Anolis sagrei: one gene and its partner. The protein of the gene in region 1 interacts with the protein of each later gene in a biochemical or structural test. Links are inferred from orthologs where the notes say so. Each region holds a gene or a part of one and is shown on either strand. Other genes may lie near its edges.

Region 1 (7,125 bases):
TAAGAGTCACTTTATTTATCCTAAAAACTATTTAATTTTCATTGAATTTGGTAAGGACCAAGAGATGGGAGTGATCAGGTGTCCAACTGTGGCCTAGTGTCAATCCCTGACAACTTCCTGATCCTTTCCTAAGCTCTGAGGACAATGCAACAATTGATTTGCTCCCTGGCTGGCTATTGACTGGAGGGTAAATTAATGAGAACTCCCACCCAAGTCCCATGACTTATAAAATAAGAGCAAACCCCAGATCAGCCTCAATGGTAGAAAGCTCTTCCCCATCTCCTGGGATTCAGAACCTAAAGAGGCAGTTCCAGAACCCTATTGTCACGTTGTCAGGGCTCTATCTTGTTTAGGTAGAGATGAATCAAAACTCCCAGTTTAAACAAACAGTTTAATTAAAACAGCATGTACAGAATGTGCGAACCAATTGTATAGGTGTGGATGATTATGGAGGGAATTAATCTCAGGCCTCAATTGTGTATAAGAATATATTATAGAGGAGGCCAATTATTATTTGTAAATTAAGGTAACTTCCACCAACGTGAGGTATTTGAGGTACCACCGATGAGATCTGGCTCTACAGACGCAGATTAATTGAGATGAGATGGTCTTCAACAAAAGATAACAAGTTTATTGTGTACAAAGCGTATGGTTGCAGGCTGTTAAATAACTTATAGAACTTTGAATATCACTTGGTTTGTAATACAGTCCACTCTTCCAGATGACACAGCTCGTGGCTAACTTTTACTGAGGTGAAGCTCTTTAGTGAACAATGTTTCCTAATATGAATAGCCTTCCAATTTGATCTTTCCTTGATCAAATCTCTGATCTCTAGCCCTTCCTTGACTAGGGATCTTAACAGGCTTCCTTTAGTCTTCTTTGACTAAAGAAACTGGCCAGGTTTCTCTCTTCAGCCCTCCTAGACTGAAAAACCTCCAGTTGCCCACACACACCTCTCTCCCAAGCTTTTCAAGCCTCCACTCTGCCCCTTTTCCAAAGACGCACATAACTTTTCCTGCTTGGCTCCGCCCACTTCTCACTCTCCTGAGCTATCCTGCCTGGTCTCCTTGGCAACACTCACTGTGGATTCAAACCAGACAACTCTAGTTTTAGCTACTGTTACAAACACAAATATATACTCTAACAGTTAAACACATACATAGTATCAATGATTTCTGCACAAGCACTTACTTGCTGGCTGTTTTTATAGTCCAAAATATAAAACACAAAGATAACACGCAGCTACAGAATAAACAAAACTGATAGCAAAAATAACTTCGTAGTTGAAAGTGTCCAGTCCAATGGTCAAATGCCGAGAGTTCAATAACAGAGTCCAGGGGTCAAGAGTATACCATAGTCAAAAGCCAGTCCAAAGGTTCAAGGTTCCAGGATTCCAAGATTACAGGTCAGGACACCGAAAATCCAACAGACCTGGGGAAAAAACCAACAATATCCACCACCAAAATGCAACAAATACTTTTCTCCCAAAGATCAGTGCCAAGGCTAGCTCCTTATATCCAGAAACACTCAGCTGCAACCCATCTCTTGCATACCTCCACCCTTAATTGCTTTCACCCATGAGCTCCCACTTACAGATTACCAAACCCTCTAGAACTAATACATTAATCCTTCCATCACCAACCATCAACTGCAGAACATATGACACCTATCCTTCACTACAAGGATGCCAAGGTGTACACTGAAGACATATTACCCCCCCCCCAAAAAAAAACAACAACATACACACACACACACACACACACACTACCTGCCAGGAACAAAGAACAAGCATCTGCTTAGTCTGTTTTCTGAACCCAGATATCCAACATGGCCCTCACTTCAAGTTACTCTCTTCTGTATAGACCTGGCCACTAGAAAACTATGATAAGATGAGGGAGAAAGTGGCCGAACCCCTTAAACAAAACATTCCCGATTTCTCTATTTACCCTTCTATGGGCAAAATCAAGTTGCCAAACTTAGTGGGGCAAAATATCGGAATTATCATACAAAGATTAATCCTAGCCATTTACTCTGTATGAACTGAAAATCATGCAGGACCAATAGAATGAGGGCAAGGTGATCTCATTCTTATCAAAGTAAATGACAGAAATGTGAAGAAGGAACCCAGTGTACTTCTCAAACAATGAAGGACTCTTTCCTCAAGACTTCAGGTCCTTGGAGAATCTGAGGCAGGGAGTGTGAAGGAAGTTGGGAGAATGTGTAAAAATTCCATTGCTTGAAATTGAAGAAAGTCCTGATTCCTATTACTCTTTCTGCCAATTAGTGACTGTATGGTGCTTTTCCAACAGAATAAGGAAAGTGGTTAGGAGAAGCTAAAAATTCCCGATCCCCATGCCAGCAGCTTTCTAGTCCTCTCCTGTGGCATGGAAAGTGGAAGAGTTTGGTAGAAGTGAAAAAGAGGGGTTGTTTTTGCATCTGTGGCAATGGCTCCTTGATCATGATGGTAATTTTTGGCACTTCCTTGCTGGGTTGTGGAAAGTGGAAGAGGCTGTAAGAAGTTGAAAAAAGCCCAAATCCCCTCTAAACTATCTACCATAGTGGGGTTTTTTTGGGGTGTTTTTTCACTGGAACAGTAGTAGTGGAGGGCGTCAGTGGTTCTTTTACGTTCTCTAGGAACATTCAAAAGCTAGCCTTGAGAACTTTACCTCTCTGTGGAGAACCTAAAAGAACCACCAACTTCTTCTACTCAAGGTATCCATAGATCATATCACAAACCATAATTTTGGCCCCCAAATCTGACCTTGACTTATACAGAAACATTCTATAGGTAAAAAACATACAGTTGGAATAACATTTCAATACCCATTTAAAATATTGCCTTTGTGCTATATTTCTGCACACATTGCGTAAAATTATGTTTCATTGAACTCAGGTCTGAGAATGCTATAAATCCAAGGAATTATCCTTGTTCTCAGATGAATTATACCTTAAAAGTGATTGACTTCTAAGACATGAGTCCCCAGGTATTTTTACATTTTAATTCCCATCATCCACAACTAACAGAAAAAGATGAGGGATATGCTAGGTGTGGATAAACAATCTCAAGGAACCCAAACTTAATGAATATATATATATATATTACTAGCCACCCCCTGCCACGCGTTGCTGTGGTGCACATGGGGGTTCTGTGTGGGAGGTTTGGCCCAATTGTATTGTTGGTGGGATTCAGAATGCTCTGTGTTTGTAGGTGAACTATAAATCCCAGAAACTACAACTCCCGACTGTCAAGATTCTATTTCCCCCAAACTCTACCAGTGTTCACATTTGGGCATATTGAGTATTCGTGTAGAGTTTGGTCCAGAACCATCATTGTTTGCGTCCACAGTGCTCTCTGGATGTAGGTGAACTACAACTCCAAAACCAAAGGACACTGCCCACCAAACCCTTCCAGTATTTTCTATGGTCATGGGAGAACTGTGTGCCAAGTTTGGTCCAATTCTATTGTTGATGGGGTTCAGAATGCTCTTTGATTGAAGGTGAAGTATAAATCCCAGCAACTACAACTCCCAAATGACATAATCATTTTTTTTAGTGAAGGACATACATTGGGTTGTTAGGTGTCTTGTGTCCAAATTTGGTGTCAATTCCCCCAGTGGTTTTTGAGTTCTGTTAATATCACAAACGAACATTACATTTTTATTTATATAGATTTTCATTGGGGGTTTTTGTCCAGCTCTGCTTTAAGCAACAAGTGAGCACTTTAAGGTGGCATCAAGTAGTCTACTGAGGTCGTGTTAGTAAAGCATACTGAGATCTTATTTCCTCAGTGTTATGGAAAAGCTGGTATGGTGCTCATTTTGTGTAGGAACTGAGTTCTTGTTTTCTCTAAAAGAAAGCAAGCAGTGGGGACACAATTTGAAAGAGAAACCCTTCTCAGTTCTTCAGAAACTCTGGTAGCATCTGTTTTTCAACCAGGAAGTCAGTCTCTGTAACATCTTTAGAAAACTTTGTGACTTCCTGGAAACGAAGAAGAAGAAGAAGAAGAAGAAGAAGAAGAAGAAGAAGAAGAAGAAGAAGACAACTGCGTTTTAGGGAAGTGTGAGCAAAATTGTCTGTGACGTCATTTGGCTGAAGAGTGTGACTGCGGTTGGTTAGTTTCTGGGTGACAGAGGAAGCTGCTCACCGGATGATAAGGAGACATTGCAATGTATGCTCATAGTATATTCTGCATTTGATTTGGACCGTGGCAAGGCCTTTGCACCAAGCTATAACAATTATTTTGCCTTCCATAGACAGGCACACACATGCTGTTTAGTAAGAATACACCCAATCCGTGGATATAACCATGCTTTTGTGGCTTAAACTCTTGGCCTTTGGCTTGGCCCTTGTGGACGTGGGTGTTTTTGGAAAAGGTAAGAGAGTCATGACTTATTCATTCCTTTTGGAGCTGTAAAATCTTCTTGAAAACAGCAGTAACAACAAAGCCGTGTTGAATTGTTAGAGGACTAAATGTTGAAAATCGCAGGTCTGCTTCTGAAATATTTCTGTGTTCCCAGGAAAGTTGGAGAGTGTCAGAACATTTGCAAGCTGGTGTCTTTGGCATTTTATGTATCTATTTGGGTGCAGTAATTTTTTTCAGTGCAGTGTTCATAACTTAGTTGCAGAATGCTATGCAATTTACATGTACTCCTAAGTAGAGAAAACAATGTAGAAATAATTTCCTGAAACTGGCCATTTGAAACACACTATTGGGGAATAGCACCCATAAAGGGAGCCCCCGGTGGCACAGTGGGTTAAACCCCTGTGCCGGCAGGACTGAAGACCAACAGGTTGCAGGTTCAAATCCGGGGAGAGGCAGATGAGCTCCCTCTATCAGCTCCAGCTCCTCATGCGGGGACATGAGAGAAGCCTCCCACAAGGTGATAAAACATCAAATCATCCAGGCATCCCCTGGGCAATGTCCTTGCAGACGGCCAATTCTCTCACACCAGAAGCGACTTGCAATTTCTCAAGTCGCTACTGACATGACAAAAAACAAACAAACTCATAAAGACATCCAATTTATTTCATAAGGAGATCTCCCTATCCAGCTTGGATAGCTATGTAATTAATAACAGCAGCATGTTTGTTACTTTTTGATATTTATTATTATTATTATTATTATTATTATTATTATTATTATTTGAAACACAACAAGATGAGGCCACAGCAAACAAGATCACTCTATTAGCTGTTGTATTGGATCACACGTCGGACGCTTTCCAAGTGTCTACAACTATGTGATGTATCAGCAAATAATGCATGCAGATCCAAGTAAGGTGGCCTTCTGCAGCTGGCAGATGGTAATTTTGTCAGCGGCAATTGTGTTTAAGTGCAGGCCAAGGTCTTTAGGCACTGCAGCCAGTGTGCCGATCACCACTGGGACCACCTTGACTGGCTTGTGTCAGAGTCTTTGCAGTTCGATCTTTAAATCCTCATATTGTGTCAGCTTTTCCAGTGGTTTCTTTTCAATCCTGTTGTCGCCTGGGATTGCAACATCAACGATCCATATTTTGTTTTGTTTTTTAACAATTATTATTATTATTATTATTAGTAGTAGTAGTAGTAGCGACAGCAGCAGATTTATTTCACATTGGTCAGGTTAAGTTTCTCTATACTATGTAGCATCCGAGTTGTCTGCATTGTGAAAATATTCACGGTGAACCGGAAGCCGCAATATTTCAAATCAAAGATCTGGAGAAGAAATTTTAATTTATTTTTTTTAAAAAAAGGAAACATTTAGTCTTTAGCATTTCAGTCAAACACATATAGCATTTGGATTATTTATTTATTTATTTATTTATTTAGAACTTTTATATACCGGTCTTCTCACCTCCGACGAGGGACTCAGGCCGGTTTACTAATTAGAAAGGCTTATTTTCAGACATTCCATTAGAGAGTTTTGTTTTACATTTTTTTCAAAGTAAATGTCATGTAAAAGCAATAATATAATACAATTTCCCTTCTCTCTCCTTTAACAATTGACTTTGCTTGCTATCAGTCTTTGAGCCACTCCCTGTTCTCAGATCCTGTATTTAGTTCCTCATCTTTCAAGCTCTGATGCATCAAATATCTTATTTTGAAAAAAAAAATCTGATCACATTATGCATCATCTTGGATATAATTTTAACTATTGGGAATTTGTCTAAACTTACTGGAAAATTTGCTTCCTAAGTACTGACGCTACTGGTGCGGCTTTTTAAAATTTCATCCAACAAGGGTTTCTACTTTCTCTTGAAATCCCATCTAAGAAATCTGATTCCCTATTTATTTATTTACTAATTTATCATATGTATTTATTCCCCACTTTTCTGCTAAATTCTAGTAGCAACCCTTAATCTGGTAGCCAAGGACATCATATTTCCATCACAAAGCTTTATAGGTCCGATACGATTTTTTCAGAGGGTGGTTTGTGAGCTTCTTACTGTTGAAGTATAAGAAACTTGAATGGATCCCAGGGTCAAAGTTTTGTCCCTGGCTTGGGAGTTTATGATTAAGGACTGAAAAAGAAAGAAATAAGGAAGTTTAAAACACAGAGAAATAGCAAGAGGTCCACATCTGGTTTTTAAAAGTTTGTATTTTGGGATGTTAAGCGTATCAAACACAGCAAACTCTATATTCCTTCCAAACCGGGATTCTCAGATGTCTGCTTATTTACTTTTTCAAGTAAACATAATCTACTAGTGTAAACTGTAAGGAGATATCTTTGTATGATAGGTGTTATCCAGATAATAAATAATCAAGCAGGGGGAAAGAGACCATTGCTTCATTCTTATACTTTATATTATCCAGGAGTTGTGACTCTCCTACTTTTTGGGGAAATCTGTTCCATAGTTTATAGGTCCACTGTCAGTTTCAGTGTCATGAACCTTCAAGCCATTCATTGCATTATGTTGACCCGATAAAGCCATAGGGTTTTCTTAGGCAAGAAATATTCAGAGGTGGCTTTCTCAGCTCTTTCCTCTGAAATATCATCTATAGTACCTGGTGGTTTTCTAGAGCTTACCCTGTCATATAAAATCTGCTGCCTTTGGGATATTTAGGCCCTTGAGCATTATCGTTCTGGAAATAAAGCCCGACTGCTCATTGGAGAGAAGGATAGTAGATGAAGTACTTTGACCACAT
Region 2 (7,744 bases), on another chromosome or scaffold:
CATTTGGGCATATTGAGTATTCGTGTAGAGTTTGGTCCAGATCCATTATTGTTTGAGTCCACAGTGATCTCTGGATGTAGGTGAACTACAACTCCAAAACCAAAGGACACTTCCCACCAAACAAAATAATAGTGTTGCATTCAATTCCATGGTTGGTGGGGTTTAGAATGCTCTTTGATTGTAGGTGAACTATAAATCCCAGCAACTACAACTCCTAAATGACAAAATCAATTTTTTTTTTAGTGAAGGACATACATTGGGTTGTTAGGTGTCTTGTGTCCAAGACACAAGACACAAATTTGGTGTCCAAATTTGGTGTCAATTCGTCCAGTCCAAATTTGGTGTCAATTCGTCCAGTGGTTTTTGAGTTCTGTTAATCCCACAACATTACATTTTTATTTATATAGATTATTATTAGTAGTAGTAGTAGTATTAGTATTAATAATAATAATAATAATAATAATAATTCCTCACTGTATTCTTTGACTTACCTATCAGGATGGATGCAATGTTTTCTTTCCCATGAGGACAGGAGATGGAAGGAAATAATATTTGGGGGTGAGATATTAATACATTTATTATTATTATTATTATTATTATTATGAATAATAATAACAATATTAATAATAATTCCTCACTGTATTCTATCAGGATGAATGCAACATTTTTGCATAAGGAAAGGAGATCGAAGGAAATAAAAAAAATAGTATTTTGGGGTGAGATCTTTTTCTTCTTCTTCTTCTTCTTCTTATTATTATTAATTCCTTACTGTATTCTTTGAATTAACTATCAGGATAGATGCAATGTTTTCCCATGAGGACAGGAGATGGAAGGAAATAATATTTGGGGGTGAGATATTAATACATTTATTATTATTATTATTATTATTATTATTATTATGAATAATAATAATAACAACCCTAATAAGTATAATTCCTTGGTGTATTATATCAGGATGAATGCAACGTTTTCCCATAAGGACAGGAGATGGAAGGACATAAAGAAAGAGTATTTTGGAGTGATATACTACTACTACTACTACTATTACTAATAATAATAATAATAATTCCTCACTTTCAAGATGGTTGCAATCCCTTCCCATGAGGACAGGAGATGAAAGAACATAAGGAAAGAGTATTTGAGATATTACCGTATATACTCAAGTATAAGCCGACCCAATTATAAACTGAGGCACCTAATTTTACCACAAAAACTGGGAAAACATATTGTCTTGATTATAAGCTGAGAGTGGGAAATGCAGCAGCAAATGGTAAATTTCAAAAGAAAAATGGACACCAATAAAATTACATTAATTGAGGCATCAGAAGGTTAAATGTTTTTGAATATATACATAACACTATCTTTTAGATAAGACTGTCCAACTCTGATTCTAAGCATCTTCAATGTGCTTTATGTATCCTTCCAATAATAATAAACATATATGTAATACTAATAATAATAATAATAGGGTTAAAATAATGGAAATGTAATAATAACAGCAATAATAGAGTAATAATAACAATAGTAAAGTAAAATAATAATAGAGTAAAATGATAAATGTAATAATAATAATAATAATAATTATAATTATAATAGAGTTAAAATAATGGAAATGTAATAATAACAGTAATAATAGAGTAATAATAATAGTACAGTAAAACAATAATGTAATAATAGAGTAAAATGATAACTGTTATAATAATAATAATAATAATAATAATAATAATAATTAGAGTAAAATAATACATGTAATAAAAATAATATCAGCGTAAAATAATATGTATTTTCATTCACTGAACCAGATTTGGCACAGATACCCAATACATCCAAATTTGAATACTGGTGGGGTTGGGGGGGGGGTTGATTTTGTTATTTGGGAGTTGTAGTTCCTGGGATTTATAGTTCACTATAATCCAAGAGCATTCTGAACTTCACCAATGATGGAAGTGAACCAAACTTGGCACAGAGAACTCCAACAGAAAGTACTGGAAGGGTTTGGTGGGCATTGGCTTTGAGTTTGGGAGTTGTAGTTCACCTACATCCAGAGAGCACTATGGACTCAAAGAATGATGGATCTGGACCAAACTCTACACGAATACTCAATATGGTCAAACGCTGGTGGAGTTTGGGGAAAATACACCTTGATATTAAAGAGTTGTAGTTGCTGGGATTTATAGTTCACCTACAAACAAAGAGCATTCTGAACTCCACCAGCAATAGAATTGAACCAAACTTGGCACACAGAACTCCCATGACCAACAAAAAAAATACTGAAAGCGTTTGGTAGGCATAGACCTTGAGTTTGGGAGTTGTAGTTCACCTACATCCAGAGAGCACTGTGGACTTGGCACAAATACTCAATATGTCCCAATGCGAATACTGGTGGAGTTTGGAGAAAATAGAACTTGTTATTTGGGAGTTATAGTTGCTGGAATTTATAGTTCACCTCTAATCAAAGAGCCCCTTGAACTCCACCAGCGATAGAATTGGGCCATATTTCCCACACAGAACCCCCATGACCCCTCTGACACCCCCTCACGACCCTCCCAGGGGTTCCGACCCCCAGGTTGAGAAACACTGATATAGTAGGTAAAGCTCATCTCCCCCCTCCACCACCCTTAATGGATCCCTGGATTCTTGATGTGAGAGGCCTGGGGCCACCAAAAGAAAGTCCTAGAATCATAGAGTTGGAAGAGAAGCAATGGCTTTCTATTTGCAGGGATGGAAATTCCAGGCCTTTTAAATAAAGGACGGAAACGTTCCAGGCGAAAATCATACATGCATACAGCTTGCTTTCTGGCATCAGCCAGAATGCCAGCATCAGCACAACGGAATTGAGATGCAACCCAATTGCAATCCCGAAGGCATCCCAAGGTGGGGTTCCACTGGCCTCCTCTCCAGGCCAAACAAGGAAGCCTGAAAGAGGGATGGAGAGAAAGAAAGAAAGAGGGAAAGGAGGAGGGGAGGGAGGACTTACGAGACCCGAACAGAGGCTGAGCCGCATCTTGGGGTTATGTAACCAGGAACGCCGGGGCACCGCCACCGCTGATGGCATGGAAACGGGTCACGGCCCCCCATCGAGGTCCCTCCCCGATGTCCCCCCCTTCCCAAGAGTAATAATAATTCACATCCTCTCCTCTCTTGCGGTTTTCCCCGGGGAGGATGGAAGCTTTGATGGAAGCGGAGGGGGGGGGGGGGACGGCTGCAGCAGAAAGGGAAGCCGGGACTGCGGAATAATCCTTCACCCGCTTGCTTCTCTGCTTGGCATCCAGATGTGGCACACAAGGACACCGGAGAGGGATTATTTCAATTTTGGTGCCCTCTTCGGAGAGCCACAGGTGCATCTACACTGCGGAATTGATGCAGTTTGAGCACTCTATAACTGCCTTGGTATCAGAGGAGCTGTCGTTTTGCAAGCCTGCTCTACTAAAGAATAATGCTGGTGCCCCAACAATCTCTATAAATAAAAATGTAATGTTCGTTTGTTGGATTAGCATAACTTAAAAACCACTGGACAAATTGACACCAAATTTGGGACAATGCACCTCTCAGGCCAACGAGTGACCATCATTCAGAAAAACACTGAAAAACACAGCAGAAGACACTTGAAAAGCCAAAACCCCCTACAAAAATTACATTACAATGCATACGCAAAACCCTATATATACACACACATATATATACACATACACACACACACACATATACGCAAACACACATATATACAAATATATACACACACAAAACATATACATCGACTGGGCCACAGCAACGCATGGCAGTGGACGGCTATTCTATATAAATAAAAATGTAATGTTCATTTGTGGGATTAACATAACTCAACAATCACTGGACAAATTGCCACCAAATTTGGCCACAAGACAACTCCTAACCCAAGGAGTGATCATCACTCAAAAAATTGATTTTGTCATTTGGGAGTTGTAGTTGCTGGGATTTATAGTCAGCCTACAATCAAAGAGCATTCTGAACTCCACCAATAATGGAATTTAAGGATCTTAAAACCTGGCTCTTCTGCTGCGCCTTTGGAGAATAGGTATACAACCCCACATTACTGCTTAGCCTCAACATTCTGTCATTGAAGTATATGTCGTCCCGTCCCCCCCTCTGTGGGAAAGCTTGATTCCTCAACCCCCGCTATAATCTGTCTCTTTTTATCTCGCCCGAGTTTTAAATTAGTTTTAATTAGTCTCTCTTTTAATCATTACATGCAGCCTGCCCATTGTCATTGTGATTGCGTCTATTGTAACTTTACATTGTTATGTATTTACATGTTTTATTTTATTATGATGTTGCTGTTCGCATTTTCGGTTGTGTTTTGGTTTCATAGAATCATAGAATCAAAGAGTTGGAAGAGATCTCATGGGCCATCCAGTCCAACCCCCTGCCAAGAAGCAGGAATATTGCATTCAAATCACCCCTGACAGATGGCCATCCAGCCTCTGTTTAAAAGCTTCCAAAGAAGGAGCCTCCACCACACTCTGGGGCAGTGAGTTCTACTGCTGAACGGCTCTCACAGTCAGGAAGTTCTTCCTCGTGTTCAGATCGAATCTCCTCTCTTGTAGTTTGAAGCCATTGTTCTGCGTCCTAGTCTCCAGGGAAGCAGAAAACAAGCTTGCTCCCTCCTCCCTGTGGCTTCCTCTCACATATTTATACATGGCTATCATATCTCCCCTCAGCCTTCTCTTCTTCAGGCTAAACATACCCAGCTCCTTAAGCCGCTCCTCATAGGGTTTGTTCTCCAGACCCTTGATCATTTTAGTCGCCCTCCTCTGGACACATTCCAGGTTGTCAATATCTCTCTTGAATTGTGGTGCCCAGAATTGGACACAATATTCCAGGTGTGGTCTAACCAAAGAGGAATACAGCATGGGGAGCATGACTTCCCTAGATCTAGACACTATGCTCCTATTGATGTTTTATTTTTATTTTAACTTGTTGCTTGGGCTTGGCCTCATCTAAGCCGCTCCATGTCACGACTGGGGAGATGGTGGTGGGGTATAAATAAAGTTTATTTATTTATTTATTTATTTATTATTGATTGTAGGTGAACTATAAATCCCAGCAACTACAATTCCCAAATGACAAAATACCCCTCCCCCCCCCCATCCTGCCAGTATTCAAATTTTGGCATATTGGGTATTTGTGCCCAATTTGGTCCAGTGAATGAAAATACATCCTGCCTATCAGATATTTACATTATGATTCATAAGAGTAGCAAAATTGCAGCTGTGGAGTAGCAACGAAAATAATGTTATGGTTGGGAGTCACCACAACATGAAGAACTGGATTAAGGGGTCACAGCATTAGGAAGGTGGAGAACCACTGGTTTGGAGTGTGTAATCCAGCACCTCCAATCAACGTAGGGCCCAGCGTTACACGAAAGGAAACAAAGCCGAGCGCCTTTGGTCCTCCTGTCTCCAAGCCATTCGCAAATTAAGTTTTGACTTGCTCTAATCGGTAAGTAATTGAATTGCTTGCAAACAGACCAGAAAGAAAACAAGATTCACCCTGTAGTCAATGAGGAAAGGGCTGGGACAGCATTGCACGGGAGATTTATGCCGATGCTTATCTTATAAGAAAGCCAAGGCTGCGTTTTGGAAAAGAGGTCAGCAGGATCTCGTCCTGAATCTGGACATCCTGGGCTGCATCTACACTGGAGGATGAATGCAGCCTGACACCACTTTCACTGCAATGGATCAATGCTGCGTACATTTACCTTCACTGTTTTTATCTAATTGGTTTTCCTTGCCCCCTATTAAAATATTCAAGGGTTAAGGTTCCGCGTTTGCATCGCTCTGGATCATTAGCATTTACGTCGTCGTTGCCCAATAAAACAAAGGAGGAAGTTGCCATTGGGAAGAAAGAGAGCGGAAAAACAAAAACAGGTAAAGACCGGCCTTTGGGCATCAAAAAACTCTTTGCAACTATTTCAGGAATCCAACAGGAATTTCTCCATTCTGTTTGCATGCTTCATTGGGTAAGAAGTTGCCTGTCAATGGAAACGTTGCATTCTGGAGTTTTCTGGTCAGGGTTTTATTTATCTACCTGTCTGGACAGTGGCTTTTATTTTACCCTTCCATTTACGTAAATAATTTGAATTTGGACCATAAACCAGGTTGAGATTTGATAGAGGCTGGTTTGCTGTTGCCTCGGAACCCGTTCCCATTCACAAGCCATGGTTTGCTAGGCCATTAATTGGAAATCAAGGCTTATTAGTTTGAGAGTTCTGGCTTGTTTACACAGTGGCTTCTTGTTACGTCTTGAATTTCTATGGACAGGCCAGTTCCATACAAAGAAACTGTGGTTTGCGTGTCAACGTGTGGCTAAAGCGCTTCTCAATCTGGGGGTCGGGACCCCGGGGGGGGGGTTCAGAGGGGACATTAAAGACCATCAGGAAACACATATTTCTGATGGCCTTAGGTGTCCCTTTGGCAGAGAAGGCTGAAGATCTCTCCGCCTGTCCTTCTCTTCCTTTTTGGAAACAGATGGTGAATCCTCCCACCAAAAGCCCTCCTCCGCTAGGATTGGCTGGACTCTCAGCAGAGACTCTAATCGGGGAAAGGAGAACAGGTGTGCTCAGTGCATGGCAGCATATGCGGGAAAGGGAGAGCATGTGAGGCTGGAGGGAGGTGCATGCCAGCGAGTCCCTTCAAGGCATGGGGATTCTGTGTGGGAAGTTTGGTCCAATTCAATCATTGGTGGGGCTGCATGGTTTTGAACTTCAAGGTTAGCAGAAGCTGGGGCTAACAGCAAGAGCTCACCCTATTCCCTGGATTTGAACCACTGACCTTTCAGTCAGTAAGTTCAGCAGCTCAGTGGCTTAACCGGCTGCACCACCAGAGGCTCCTAATAATAATAATAATAATAATAATAATAATAATAATAATAATACTCTGGCTGGCTCAAACAATTAGCTGAGAAAATGTCATGCCAGATTAAGCCTGATCACATCCACACTTAATAATAATAATAATATAAATCAAGATGGCACAAATGATTATCTGAGAAAATGTCACACCAGATTAAGCCTGATCACATCCACATATAATAATAATAATAATAATAATAATAATAATAAAAGGTCACCTGACTTGGACCTGCATGCATTATTCAAAAATACATCACACAGCCCTAGACTTTTGGGAAGTGTTTGACTTATGATTTTGTGATACGAAATCCAGCGTATAGATCTTGTTTGCTGTGACATACTGTGTTTTTGTGTCAGTAAAATAATAATAATAATAATAATAATAAAGCCAGCCCAAATGATTAGCTGAGAAAAGTCATGTCAGATTAAGCCTGATCACATCCACATAGAATAATAATAATAATAATAACAATAATAAAGCAGCCCCAAAAGATTATCCGAGAAAAGTCACGTCAGAATGAACCTGATCACATCCACATATAATAATAATAATAATAATAATAATAATAATAATATTCAAGCCAGCCCAAATGATTAGCTGAGAAAAGTCATGTCAGATTAAGCGTGATCACATCCACAAATAATAATAATAATAATAATAATAATAATAATCAAGCAGCCTCAAATGATTAGCTAAGAAAATGTCATGTCAAATTAAGCCTGAGCACACCCACATTGAAGAATTGTAATAAAAATAAATAATAATAATAATAATAATACTCTGGCTGGCCCAAACGATTAGCTTTCTCCAAGCGTCCCTGTTAATTTCCCAGTGCAAACACTGCACAAAGCCTT

Evidence for each region.
Region 2: of the proteins of PTPRC (region 1) and CSK, one has a biochemical effect on the other in vitro, tested with the Homo sapiens proteins (2 studies listed by IntAct). The link is inferred for Anolis sagrei from reciprocal best matches to the Homo sapiens genes PTPRC and CSK.

Annotation. Positions count from the first base shown.
Region 1 is NC_090024.1:110,843,904-110,851,028, forward strand, and holds the start of PTPRC (receptor-type tyrosine-protein phosphatase C), read left to right. Parts: upstream 1-4,080; 5' UTR 4,081-4,168; intron 4,169-4,253; 5' UTR 4,254-4,306; coding exon 4,307-4,373; intron 4,374-7,125. UniProt on the Homo sapiens protein: Protein tyrosine-protein phosphatase required for T-cell activation through the antigen receptor. Acts as a positive regulator of T-cell coactivation upon binding to DPP4.
Region 2 is NC_090029.1:21,309,730-21,317,473, forward strand, and holds the start of CSK (tyrosine-protein kinase CSK), read right to left. Parts: upstream 3,081-7,744; 5' UTR 3,056-3,080; coding exon 2,978-3,055; intron 1-2,977. UniProt on the Homo sapiens protein: Non-receptor tyrosine-protein kinase that plays an important role in the regulation of cell growth, differentiation, migration and immune response.